Linked DNA regions of Struthio camelus. The protein of the gene in region 1 interacts with the protein of each later gene in a pairwise test. Links are inferred from orthologs where the notes say so. Each region holds a gene or a part of one and is shown in the gene's direction. Other genes may lie near its edges.

The links. The genes of interacting proteins can lie anywhere in the genome.
Region 2: the proteins of FEZ2 (region 1) and SCOC interact in binary tests that used the Homo sapiens proteins (3 or more experiments, as listed by UniProt). The link is inferred for Struthio camelus from reciprocal best matches to the Homo sapiens genes FEZ2 and SCOC.

Annotation. Positions count from the first base shown.
Region 1 is NC_090944.1:101,997,384-102,004,316, forward strand, and holds the start of FEZ2 (fasciculation and elongation protein zeta-2), read left to right. Parts: upstream 1-3,822; 5' UTR 3,823-3,922; coding exon 3,923-4,167; intron 4,168-5,791; coding exon 5,792-5,900; intron 5,901-6,933. UniProt on the Homo sapiens protein: Involved in axonal outgrowth and fasciculation.
Region 2 is NC_090945.1:32,973,512-32,981,039, forward strand, and holds the start of SCOC (short coiled-coil protein), read left to right. Parts: upstream 1-4,490; 5' UTR 4,491-4,594; coding exon 4,595-4,730; intron 4,731-7,528. UniProt on the Homo sapiens protein: Positive regulator of amino acid starvation-induced autophagy.

The DNA of each region.
Region 1 (6,933 bases):
AAGAGTAAGCAGTCTTTATCCAGAATTGTAAATGCTTGCTTTTGTTTTACAATCAAGGCCATATTCTGAAAATATTAGCAGGATATAGGACATGGTGTAAAATGTTTTTTTTATTATTATTATTATTTTATTATTATTTTAAAGATATGATTTATCCTATGTGCTGTATCCATTACACTCTTTTACTTTGGTTCCTGTTGTGCTCTTGTAAGAGAAATGCAGATATAATTTTCTGAAAAATAGATGCATATGTGGCACTCGGAGTGCACTGCGGTTCAGCAGATTGCTTGTTTACTTTTTTAACTGTAAGGCGGTTTCTTGTAATTTGGCTCTTGGCAGCACAATAAAAAAATTTTAAACCTACTGATGCATATTTTTTTTAATGTTTGTATTTATTACTTCCCTGAAGTGGTCCTTGAGGCATTAGTTTTTATCTTGATATTATTTTTCCCTTGAAGTAAGAATTCGTGTCATCAAGCTGACCTTAGTCCAGTACAATTGAGGAAAACTATAGGAAAAGAATAGTTACTTCAGCAACTATTCCTTCAGTTAGGGAAAGTTCTGAATTTTACACAGAAGAACCTTCACGTTAGAGGGGTTTGTGGAATCCCAGATAGTTTCAGCATATAGTAAATAAAAATCTCTCAAAGTTAGGCCTCCGCCATGCCATCTGGTCTAATCACAACTATCACGCAGAGTCACAAATAATCATATGGGGCTGTGGTATGAGCTTAATGGCCCTCCTATAGGTCCTATAGAAGGTCTGTAGAATCAGAGACCATGCTTAAACTCTCCTTTTCTGTTTTGTTTTTTTTTACTTGTTTATTTTTGATACATAATAACATGGAGCGAGGAGAACAACAGCAACAAGAGGGCCAGAAATCTCAGCTAAGTTTTCTCATGCCAAAAAGAAATGAAGCTTAGCTTTGTCACAATTAAAACACAGAAAAGCAAAAACGTATGTATGTTTAAAAAAAAAAAACTATACTCAACAAAACCAAAGGTCTGTCTAAGCTGGTACGTGGTCTCCAACTGTGACCCGTAGTGGATACGTAGGAAAGCGTGTAAAAAGAGGAAATGATGGTTTCTTTCCAGCAATTTGCATTTCAAGGACTTCCTGAGCCATAGAGAACACCCATATTAGCCCACAATGTTCTTTCTTCTATTAATTTGTAAAATAATTGAATTGATGGAAAGTTCTGGTTATCTGTAGCACCTTGAGGCAAGGAATTTCTCAGCTTAACTACATGATGTGTGGAAAAACTGCCTCCTTTTCTTGCTTTGACTGTACTCCCTTAATGGTTTCATTTGGTATCCCCTACTTTCAGCATCTAATTAGAGGAGTGGATCAGCATCTATATGCCACCCATTAATTTACAGACCTCCATCTTCTCTCTGTTTTGTCTTCTCTTTTCTGTGCTGTAGAGTCCTAGGCTTCTTGTATGAGAGCCATTCCATCCATACCTTTTGGTCATCCTTGCTCTTCATTGTATCACTTCCCATGCTATTACATCCTTTCTAGATCAACGGCAGAAGGACTGAAAATGTCCACATTGTTTAAACATGCTGCACCCTGGACATAGCCTTTTATATACTGGCTTGACTGCTACTGACCACCGAGTCAGTGTTCTCACAGAGGTAGCTGTAATAATCGAAAATGCCCAAGTAGTAGTAGTAGTAATGAAGCCCATCACTGACTTTGACTAGGACAGGTCAGCGGTTTTGTTTTGTTTTCCCCTCTCACATGCATCCCTTTATTTATGGATGCTGAATTTCATCCATATTTTATATAATGATTCAATATCATAATATATTGAAATTCTCACAGCCAGCCCTTACTTTTACTGCTCTGAATAACTTACTACCTTTTGTTTCTTTGCTATTCCCTCTCCTGTTCACATCCTTTCATGTGCTTAAGAGCATGTCCTCAAGTGTAGAGAATACCTGCTGGACTCTAGTGGTAACCCATAAAGAGGAGACCCAGTATTCACACCTCTCCCAGGTGAACAGATGCAGAAACCTAAATTCAGGGGTTTGATATCATTTTATTAAGTAGTCCTTTTTATACCTTCATCACATTTTAGCCCTATGGACTCCAGCAAACTTTTTACTCAAGATATAATCCAGAAAGGGGTTTACTATGGTATTTTGACTTTTGCAAGTTGTTTCTTAAATTCTTGATTTGCCTTGCTATATTTTTAGATTTAACCTGCTGGAGACTATGTACTGATTTCCTCATTTGGATGCAGCTCTACTGTCTGAAAGATGTCTGTTTCTGTCCAGTAATTTCCTTTCGCTTGCTAGTTAACTATTCCAGCTTTTTTGCTCTGAGAGGTCATATGTCTTCCAGAATAGTGTCTTTAAATATTCTTCACCCTGCCCGCAAACATTCCACTATTTCCTCAGGTCGTGCATGTGTAGGAAAAAAAAAAAATTTACGTACGTAGTAACGGGCAGTGCATGCTTTTACTGCTAAAAAAATGGATTATTATAAACAGTATTGTGAAAATACGTCATCACCAGTAACTTAACTAGGATGTTAGGAAGCAGGTACAAACCAAAGAACAACATTATGCCAATGTGTAAATCCATGGTGCACCCATGTGTGAACACTGAAAGTAGTCCTGGTCTCCCTCACACTATTCACAGTATCAGAAAGGATCGTATCTGGAATACCTACATAGACTAGGGAGCGTCAGCTTGGAAAAGCAGTAACTGCATGTTACAGGATAAATCTTTAAATGTCTTTAAATGTCTGTGCGGCATGGAGAAGCTGAACAAGGGATGGATTTTCCACTTGCTGTCTCTTTCAAAATAGCAAGTAGGAAGTATGAAAAGAAACTTAAGATCTTGTATTTGCTTTGAGTCTTCTTCAAGCGGAGAAGTTTCTTGCCAGGTACTACTGGGGATGCCAAAAGTTTACAGCGGATCAAAGAAGTTCTAGATTAAAAAAAGCCTGTCATAAGCTATTGTACAAATAGATGTCACATAAAAGACAGAAAAGGACTGGAAGGGGAGTGACGATGTGCTAATAAAAACCAAGTATTTCCAAAAGTTCATTTCATGCTTGTGGATGGCCAAATTCTGAAAATAACCCGAAACCCACGCATCCCCAGCTTACCAGGTTACAATGAAATTACAGCAAACATTCCTCCTTTCCCTTCCCTCCCTTTTCCCCAGTGAACTGCCCCGTTGTTCAGAAGCACTGCGTTTAGGCCTCAGGCCCACAGCCATCACCTTCCTTGGAGAGAAACCCCAGTTCTCCAGAAACGATGCTTTTCATTGTCGAAGCTTAAATCCGCAAACGCATCTCTCCGCTTTCTCTAGCGGTGGTAAAATTAAGCAGCGACTCTCCAGTTTTTACAGAAGCACGGCGGTATCCTTTGAAATGCCTGTTTCCAAGGCGTCTTTGTTAGCGGCAGCAGCACCTCCGGGACCGGTCTTCCCCCTTCGCAGCAAGTCTCCACGCCGCCGCCACAGGGCAGGCTGCGGGCCGCGCCCCGTGCCTCTACCGGGGCAAAGGCTGGGTGGTCCCGGGCAACGCACCCGAGCCCACGCCGGCTACAAACGGCCGCTCTAGGCAGGTTCAGCGCTGCTCGGTGCCCGCCGTGGCCGGGAGGCACCGCTTCACCCTCGGGCGCAGACGCCGGGTCGACCTCGCCTCAGCGCGGCCGCGGATAACGCGCCGCCCCGTCCGCCGCCAGCACCTCCCCCCTCGGCGGCGCGCGCCAAGCCCCGCCCCCCGCGGCGGCCGTTGGGGCGCGGCCGTTGGGCCGCCCAGCGCCGTCAAGCGCCCCGCCCCTCCCCCCGCCCCCCTCCGTCCCCGGCCGGCGCTGCGGGAGGGGCCGGGAGCGCGCAGCGCCGAGTGTCGCTGCCGGGGGCGCGCAGCCCGGTGTCTCCTGCTGCGGCGGCGGCGGCGGCGATGGCGGCCTCGCAGCGAGACCCGGGGGACTGGCAGGACTTCTCGGGTTTCCAGCCCGCCGCGGGGAGCGGCCCCGAGGCGGCCCGCGACAAAGGCGGCTGGGGAGCGGGGGATTTGGCGGCTAAGTTGTCGCTCTGCTTTGAGCCCCCGCAGGCCCGCGGCGGCGGCGGCGGCGGCGGCGGCGGGGGGGAGAGCCGCGTTGCGCTGCGGCCCCTCACGGAGCAGAGCGCCCTGCAGGACGACGAGTGAGTGCGGCCCGGCGGGGCAGGGCCCGGCGGCGGCCGTCGCGGGGGCGGCCGTCGCAGGCAGCAGGAAGGGGTGTGGGGCCGGAGGGGGGGAGGGAGCCGTAGGGGGTCTGTGGGTCGGCCTCAGCCCTTGCTGTCTGAAAGCGTCGCCTCGGGGCCTTCTGGCCCGAGCCCCCGCGCTGCCCTTTATCCTGCCTTAGGGGTCGGCTGCTCTCGCCCAGTCTGAGCAGGGCTTGAGGTCTTTGCCCTCGCCGTGGGCCTGGGGGCCGGCGGGCCTGGCACCGGCAGTTCAGACGGGCTTTTTCGACCTGAACCGGGAAGGGTTGGCCGAGCCGCTGGCGCTAGTTTGGCTTTAAGCCTTTTGGCTTGTAACTGTCAAAAAAAAAAGTGCATATCTCAGTGTCTCTTCCCTTTTGGGTAACTGTTCTGAAGCACAAAGTGACTGAAGGTAATATTTATTTAGCTTCTTGTAAAATGCCCACAGGGCAGTGTTTGTCTGAAATCATATGTGGAAAGCAGTTTAGATGCGGAAGAGAATCTCGGAGAAAATCGCAACTATAATTATGTTTTATTCACTGAGTAACAGAGTCTTTTTGAGCTATGCTGTTTTTCTTTTCACGTTATTTTGTAGCTGCAAATCTCACTGTTGGCTTATCTTCTTTAGTAATACTGCAGCATTTTTTTTTTTACCTTGACATAACTAGACTGTATCTCCTATCCTAAGAAAATAATCTAGAAAAACACCACACTCGAGGTATCTATGGTATAAAGAGTGAGATAAGTATAGAGAACCCTGAATTAGAGTGGCTGTGCAGTGCTAGGGTGTCTGCCTGCCCTTCGGAGTCTGCCTGAGTCTCTGACCTCCTCTGAGCCCAGCTAGGCAACCACTCCAAGTATGCATCAACTGTTAGCTGACTTGAGGCAACCTGCTAATAGGGCTGCTCTGTTTCAAAATCTGAACTGGTGTCTCAAAGTACTGCAGCACATGCAAGGCCAGAGTTTGTTGTACAGTGTGAACGTGGTTAAGATGAACTGTAAACAAGAGTGAGGAGCTGAGCTGAGCAAGAGTGCGTCTGGATAAAATGAAATTCTGCTGGATCTTAGTATAACTTGTGCCTGTTCGTTATTCTGAGCTAAATAGAAAAAAAAGAAGCTTTTACAGATGCAGTTAAAACAAGCTGTAAAAATTGAGGTTTGGCTTGGAAGTTGCTCTTCAGCCTCTGCTAATTCCGAATTTCAAGGTGCAAAAGGCAAGGAAAATAGTAACACTGGGAAAAGAGCTTATAGCTTGCCTGAGATTTCATCAAAGGAAGGGCTCATCCACTTCCAAAAGAGATTTCAAATATGGTTATATAATTTTTGATGAAGCTGTCTTTTTATTCTGTTATTTCACTGCCATGCATAAACTTGAGATTTAAAAAGAGAGATACAGGATGCCTTTCAAAAACATTTTTTTCTTTGACTTCAGAATATTACTAAAATATTGTCAGTAACTTGTAGATGAGTATTTAGAGAGAAAAATAGTTATTGGTAGAAATATATTATCATTAAAAATATGTTAACTGCTGATCAGTTGCTATTCATGTGAAGGTCTGCATTTTTGTTCCTTTATTCCTCTCTGCAGGATTTGGAATGCTTTGACTGATAATTATGGTAACGTAATGCCAGTTGACTGGAAATCTTCCCACACCAGAGCTTTGCACTTGCCAACACTGAATCTTTCAGAAAAAGGGGTAAGTTCTGACTATCAAAAATACCCTGTTGGGGCTCTTTTATGCTCAGCAGGGGAAATAAAACAATTTATATTTGTACAAAATAGTGTTGATCTTAAATGACTTAAAATATTTTTTGTGCTTGGCCTTAGGCATAAGTATGAGAGGATTTATAACCATCTGATAACCATTGATATGTATTTGCTTTTCTTCAATATGAAGTATATAAGGGTTAGTTTTAGATGAGTGAATAAGCTAACGTTCGCCAGAGCAGAGCATGATAGGCAAAATTGTAAATCGTGAAAGTGTTTGGCATAAAAACTTTCTCCTGGCCTTTCATGCTGAAGTAGTCCGTGATGGGGCAAGGAAGGAGGGGGTATTCTTATTGAGTAAATCCACTGTGGACTTTTTCAGTGATGACCTCATTCGACAGTCAGATAGATGCTAAAGTGAATTCATTTGCAGGAAAGAAGACCCAGGAGATACTAAAATGCAACAGTTCAGTTTGTATTTAACAAGCAAAATAGTTGTCTAAAGAGGGAGTACAGAATGAAAAGTTTCAGAGATTTAAAGAAACAGTTGTCCTGTGATCTTCTGAAAAGTCAGTTAAAACACTTAGGAAGCAAAGCTGGGAGGAATTCCAGTCTCCAAAGTCTTCTGAGTAAACAGGTTATTTATCTTTTAAACATACTGAAGTTTAGTTGTAAAAACACGTGCCTGTGTGAAACCTGAAAATAAATGAGTGTTTGACTTTTGCTATCCGTTAAGTAATCCACAGCTACTTTTCTTACAGTGACAGAAAAAAAGATTGTGAAAAGGATACCCGAAAAAAAATTATTTTTTTCTGCAGGAGAGGATGACAGTCTGGAACTCTGTTTCTGTTTGGGTCTGATTATTTATTTTCTTGAATTTGACTTGATTTATTCTGATTTTTATTAATAGAGGATTTGTTAATATTTTCTAAGTGGTTTTAGAGTAATTCAGTCTTTACAGTAAAGTAAAAACAGTTGCCTGTTCCCTTGTTCTATGACTGAAAAGATGAACCAGAAGACTG
Region 2 (7,528 bases), on another chromosome or scaffold:
GTTCTATTTTAAAATCCTTTCCAGACTTAATATATTGTGTTGCTTAGACTATGTACAACCACATTTGCAAAACTTGCCTTAAAATTAGACTTTCTCTTTATCAAACCACTATGCAACAGAAGCAGCTGAATATGTTAATATCTGAGACAGTGCAGTGCAACCCAATGCAATATCAACCATTACAACTGTGCTGTCACAAGCATGTAACCTACTCAGAGACATTCTGACTCTGTTCCAGTATTCCCTGGGGTAGTTAGAAACTTTCTTTCACTTGAGTGTTTTTGTGACCCTTTTTTTTTTTTTTCTACTACTAAAGATATCCAGAAAGTATCAGGGTGCTACCAGGTATAGAGATAAATATACAGCTAAACATACAGGTAAAATAACAGCTTTGAAACAAGGGGTCCAACAAGATTTTATGAGGTGGTACACATGACAAAACCTCTCTCCACTTACTAACCTCCTGTCTCTGATCCCACTCTTTCCTCTTGCCTTGCCAAGCTAGAGCAAGGTTTGAAATACAGGCACCAAGAAATGTTTCCAAAGGTACCACATCACAGCTGTGGATTCCCAGATGACAAATTAGCCCTATAACAGCAGACTCAGGAAAGCAGGTGAGGAGCACTTGAATAATTTGATACTATAGTTCAGTTCACTTCATAAGTGCAAGGCTGAGGTCTGCATAAAGAGCGTTGCACTGCAGTCTGCCTCAACTGAGCTAGAAGCGCTGTTAAACTGTTAGTATAAATAAGTGTCACAGCCCATGCTGTCGTTCAGCTATGGTGTTCCATACATCTGTACTTAACTCCAAGCCAACTTCCTTTCCAGGTCACTATTCAATTATTTTAATTAGGAAAAAAAATTACACGGTAGCTACAGTAGCAAAAAGGGAAACAAGCCACTACTATGCAGATTTTAGCTACAATGTTTTAAATCTAAGGACAAAAACCCTCCTATAATTGCATATTTCATACAAAGTTGCCCAACTTGATATAAAATCCTCAGCTTGCAGAGTCATTTCAGTTCCAAACTTGATGACATTCTTAGGCATTTATCTGCTGCTTTCATGACTGTCATATCCAGACAGTGCTTTGCTAACCTGCTTGTTATCAATACTCCTCGGAACTGGCCTAGCACAAGGCTACCAACATTCCCAGGTGCTGTTGCGCTAATGTCAAATAAAAGGCTCACAGCCTCTCCTACCTCCCCCAGCCTTAATTTACCCACCCCTGTTTAAAGAGGCAGCCAGAGAGCTGCTAGGTACTCCCCAACCTCTTTTCAATGTACTAATGAAACCCTGAGCAAGATGAACTGATGTTTTATAACCAAACTTTTACTGGAGTAATGGACACTAATGTAAAGTGAAGTAATTCACAGATGGAAATAGTTAAGCTCATTGTGCTCTGACAGTTAACTCCATTACACAGCTTTCTTTCAAGCTATTCAGAGTTCCTCTGTCTACAGCTATTCCTTCCTGCTCTTCCTCACAAAACAAACATGATGACAGCAAAAAATGGGTACTTTTGTGTCACACCTACGCGGCACCTTTCATCAAAGCACCTTATTTCACTAACAAAATATCAGGCCACCAATAGAGAAAATGTTTCTCACCACACCACTCAGACAAGCAAGCTATAGATCTAACTCTACGGTGCTTTTAAAGACGCAGAACATAGGCGTATGTTTTAAATGTGTAAAACCCTGTGTGCAAGAAAGATGAGACAATGTCTTTGGAGCCCTCCTAGTTAAATCCCATCCCCTCCTGTTGGGGAAAGAGTCTGTTTCTGTGAACCAGCTGTGGAGATCTCCCACAAACCCAGTAGATTTCCAGATGCCCATGAAAGGCAATCTTCTGGGAAACAATGCAGCTCTGTAAATAGCACCAGAGTGACTATATGCATGTATTTATATATATGCACCTACACTTTATGCACTCTCCCTCCTTCTGCAGGGGCAATGAGAGAAGCACTGACTGAGGAACTGAAGTATGTGATTTGTCCAAAGACCTTCCAAAGAGGCTGTAAAGGAGCTCTGAATCACACTTGCGGAGCAGCCTTAATTTTGAGCCTTGCAGTCAAGAGTCCGTACGCCATGAAAAATAACTCCTCAGGTTACAGCTCTTTGGTGCTGTATAAGGTGGAATGTCTTTGGTATAAGAGCCTTACCTCAGAAATTGCAGGAATCAGTACATATCACATGAGACTGCCAAACTCCAAATCACACATTCTTCTGCAGAGATTCTTATTCAGTCTTACTAACATACAGCTTTTACTATACATCACCTTTACTAGCAGCTTTGATGTAGACATGCAGATTATGCTGCATAATGAATGTGGAGGTTGCACAATTGTTTTCGATGTCTAATCTGTCTAAAAACAGATAATAATTTACATGGAAATTGTATCTACCAGAGGGAGCCCAAATGGCCAATATAATAGAACCACATTGACACAGGCAAGAAATGTTAAACAAACACTTTAGATACAGGCTGCACAGTTCAGACAAGATTCATCCCTTAGTTCCACACGCATATAATTTCATAAAATTCAGAAGTAATGAATTACATAATTGTGCTGGTTTTTTTGATCTGCCCTTCCAAAACAAGTTGATCAGGTGTTTCAACCATCTATAACATGTATGAAAACAGTAAAGGACAAAAATAAAGAAAGATTGAAATGTTTCCCCTTTTTCTAGCTTTATTATAGTTACTGTGAACATTCTGAAGCATGCTATTGCACCACTGAAAGAAGAAAAAAGAAACATAGGCATTCCCCCATCAAAGGAAACAATCAAATTTCAACATGACAACAGAGAAGGATTATAAGCAGCTAAAATTGGGCAACATCTGAGAAAAGACCAGGTGAAAATAGTTAACACACCTGTGGACATATGACAGCATTACTATCTGTTGGAAGTTCCATTAACTGCTTGTTTTCTCCCATCTCTCCTTCTTCCTTTTCCTTTTTCATTCAGAATTTACAAGTAAACATAAAACTTTTTAGAAACACATACAGTAAAATCTTGGACTTCAGCTTTTACTCATGGAACGGATATAGCCCATAATCCTATACAGTGTCATAAAAGTCCCAGCTCTCACCGAGAATCACATTTTAGGTATATAGAGCCTCCACATCTCTTTGGTGCTTGCCAAGTCTGTCCACACATGTATCAATTACTAACATCAGCTTTTGTGATACCCAAGGATTTGGAATGAAACAAGGAGGTCTCTTATACAGACTACTCAAGACCAAGGCAATCTTTTCTGTTTCACATCAGTTAGAGCTAAATTCAAATGAATAACTCACAACCCTGTTCTGAAAATAAATGCAGCATGCTTAATTTTCAGTACTTCCTGAAGGCAGTTGTCAGTAGCTTTACACCTACAGGAACAGGGGGGGAAAAAAAAAAATAATCAAATAATAAAATTAAAGCATGCACAAGCAATTAAAGTATCAGGGAAAAAAAATGAGCAGCATTACAGTTATCATTTCTGTAAGCTGCATCACTTCATCACTTCCCATGCCTCTGTGTTTACTATCTTTTTCCTTTCTTCCTGCAAACTTGCATGCATTTACCTCTGTACAAAGAAGCTGCCTCGGGAGTCCAAATCAAGATTATGGTTGTGTGAAAGGCAAACTGTAAATTCTCATTCTGTAGTTAGACAATGCTTCACATAACTAACATTCAGTTTTTAGTGAGACTTCAGAGAGGTTCCTAATTACAATTAAAAAATCCTTTGTCAATATCCTAAATTTATAGCCTTTTCCTGGAAAAAAATTAATTAAACATAAATCAAATCAGGCAGACTCTGAACCTGCAAACCCCTGAAAATGACATGGTTCCACTTTCACTACATTGTCTTTGATCAAAATCAGAGCCATTCATAATTTTAAATAAGTTGAAACCAACGTTCTACCCATGAGTGCAAAAGATAGGTATTTCCAAGCGGTAAGTAGTCTGAGGTGAATTTCCTAGTTTGTATGTTCAAACTATGTTCAGTTTTCTGTAGATGTGTCCAGACAAAATATGAAGAGGCAAGTTTTTTTTTGTTTGAACTAAAGTTCTTTCTGACAACAGAACATCACAGAACCTATCACAGAACATCACATGCTCACTTACATAACTTTACTTGCATGCACTACTCCACTGGTTTTGATGCGACTCTTCACATATGTAAAACTACTCATATTCCTAAGCATGTGAAGACTAGATTTTTAACCGGCTGCTCCCAAAACTGTCTATTGAATTTGTTTGGGCTATAAGTAACATTTCTGAACACTTAAAAGTCAATTTTTCCCTCTTTTCCTCTATCCAAAGAAACGTACACGGCCCTAGAGAAAAATTAAAAAACTAAGCCTCCTTAGCGTGAAAACACAGTTCTTTCACAAAAAGAGTCTGAAACAATGGCATTTGCTCAGTATGTATTTGACAAAGCTGTTATACTCTTTAACCTTCCAGTTTAACAATTTCCGGAAAAGAGCTCAAAGTTCAGATGAGATACCACACTGAAAGAAAGATGTGTATAGTTGCAGACAGGATCAGATAACACCTGTGTGGTGTATGGACTCATTAAAGATTTAACAAGAGAAGTCACATGCACACTGAAAAATGGCTGACAACTGTTATGCTTAATGCACTTAAACTTTGCTCAAAAGAAGGAAGCAAAATGGAGTTACCTCTGGATGAGGAGGACGGCACTTTCACCAACATTTCTTTGGCAGACGATTCAGGTAAGGAACTACAGTAATCTAGTGATGAACTACAGATTCCATCGGCTGAATAATAACACTGGGTGAGCACACAAATCTCTTGTTCCTCATTACCAAGTACAATGTATTTTTAGAAAATGCCCTTAAGTAAACAGTTGAATAAGCCTTACGACTAATTAAAAATTGAGATTTTGGGGGGTCTAGGGGCTATCACAGTTTTCACATAATAGCATATGTTAAGAATAAGATATCTGCTCAGATAAGAAATACATGTTATCTTTCACTTGTTTAGAAAGAAAAAAATTTCAGAAGCGTTAACTTAGTAGTTGCTAATATCAAAAAAATACAGATAGTCTCAGCCTTTCCTCTTGAATGTGGAAAGGTGCTGTTTGACATGCTCTAGTGAGAGCTCACAAAAAGTGATACAAACTAATTAGTAACAGAAATGAACTGATCATTTAAATCCCCATTATTAAGAATTTAGTAGTTTTTAAGGAAACTACAAAAGCAAAGAATGTCTCCCTTTGCCCCTCTAACTTACGGAGTAAAAGTGATTTGGAATGAGAGGCAGGATATTTCTATATACTGGAAAAATGACGTGAGTTAATATGAGTGACAATAAATTATTTAGAAAGGTGCGGCCAGAGTATCAACTGTAGCAAGTCAGCATGGCTGCCATAGACCTGTGCTAATTTACACTAGCTTCTGGATTGTTGATTAATGAATAATGCAAGTCCCATTTTTCCTTTCTTTACTTTTTTTTTTTAAGATTAAAAAAAAATGTTATTTTAAGTTCCATCTTCTATATCTTGTATATAAAAAGCACATGAAGTTAACCTTATTTTTAGAATGTAGTTCTTCAGCAATTTCATATGAGCATGATGGAGCTGAAATGGATGTTTCAATGCAATTACTTTGTTTTTTTTAAAGCATATAGCTTAGTGACATATGTGGTTGACTTGAACTATTCACAATAAGATAAAATTCAAGTCCTTGGGGCAAGTCTTGCAATAACAGAGTGTCTTCCTGACAGTGAACCTAAGACTATTTCTCTGAAAAAGTGCAGAACAGTAAGTTTCCTACGACACCTTTTCGTGGCTTGCTGCACAGATAATAGGGCAAGAACAGATTAGGAATGACTCTGCAATGACTTCCAGAGAGGCTAAGCTATGCAACAGTAAAGCCAGCCTAGGCATTCAGGACTTGATATTCACTAATGCTTAAGCTCTGACAGATATCACAGATGTAGAAGTAACTGCTCAGCAATAGTGCAAATAAGATTCTGCTGCACCTAAGAAATTGCACCTCTAAAATTACTAGATTCTTGACTGCAGTAACACACCCAAAGTCATATGAAGCTCGTGTTCACATCAGGAAGAGGACTTTGCTCCTGTGCTATTCCTTTCTATTCTGAAATTCAGTCCCTTCTGAGTTACACAAAGATTGTTATCGCTGATTGCACTGTATAGCAGAACTTTCCATTTTTTTAAACCACTTCCAGACAGCATTAATAGTTCCCCTCTTCATCTGAAATTAAACAAGTAAGATGTGTAGCATGCACTGCACAAAGATCTGAAGTACAAGTGGATCGCTCTCCAAGAAGAATGAACTCCCCAAATGAGGCCTCTTAATACAAGATCTGCTACTGATACCAGAGCGTTTTCCCAGTAGTGAAGAGGGAGGGAGAGTCACTCAAAAGTCGAGAGAGAAATTCAGAGCAACTGAAAACAAAGTGATATATTCAGGTAAGCTTTCTCTTGAAGGGAGAGAGAGAGAGAGAGAGAGAGAGAGAGAGAGAATATAGTAAGGTTCATGGAGAGAGGAGGAGAAAAGTATTATAGAGTGAGAGAGAAAAAGATTCCTTAGGATGGACAGCAGTAAGTTCATGCAAGGAATAAAGAAACACAACAAGCAATACATACATCTTAAAATAACATTATGAACAAGCGGACTTTGCCTGAGGATGAGCTGATGATGTTTAGAAGCAAGTGTTCCATAATTACAATTTAAGTAGGATCACAAAGACGCACTGGTTTTAATGAACTACGTTATATTTGCACTCACCACATGAGGCTTTCCTCCCATCTTTTAAAAATGTACTAACATAGACAAGTAGAAGAATGCGTTACATATATACAATCTGATAACATAATCAAAAAAAAATCCTTCATATCAGAGTTTCTTTAGTATAGTGAAAAGCTATTGTGACAAAGCAACAGGGGTTTCTGAGCCTGATTAACTGAGCGCAATCCATGAATATTTAATAGCTAATGCTCTTTCAAAACAGTAGCATTTTGCTAGTCATTCAGTACACAGGTATTAAAAATAAATCACTTTAAATCAGGATGAAAATGAAATGGCAGCAAGACAAAATTCTTGATCAATATGTTAATAGCAATATCACAAGCCTTTGAAACCAAGGAAAGCATTCATTAACAGCATTTGTGAGAGGTAAGAAAATATTTTCACCCTTAGTGAAAGAAATATCCTTTAATGTATAAAATCATAGCACTCAATTGATAATCTTTCCCCCCCTAAAATTACAGGCCCAAATGAAAGTAAAGAAGAAATTAAGCCAAAAAGAAAACAAAACAGTGAAACAATACCTAAAAGTTGCATAAACTTCTCTTATTCTTTTTTTAAAATACTATTTCCCAGAAAGCCAACATTAAGGACTGAATTTCTCATATATTCTCATACATTCTCTTTAAAAAGCAGAAATAAAGCTCTAAATACTTAGGCCTAACTTAATAAAACAGGAAAATAGCTTTTCATCTCATTGTTACTAGTACAGCTTTATGGAACCTCGCTAAAAAGTC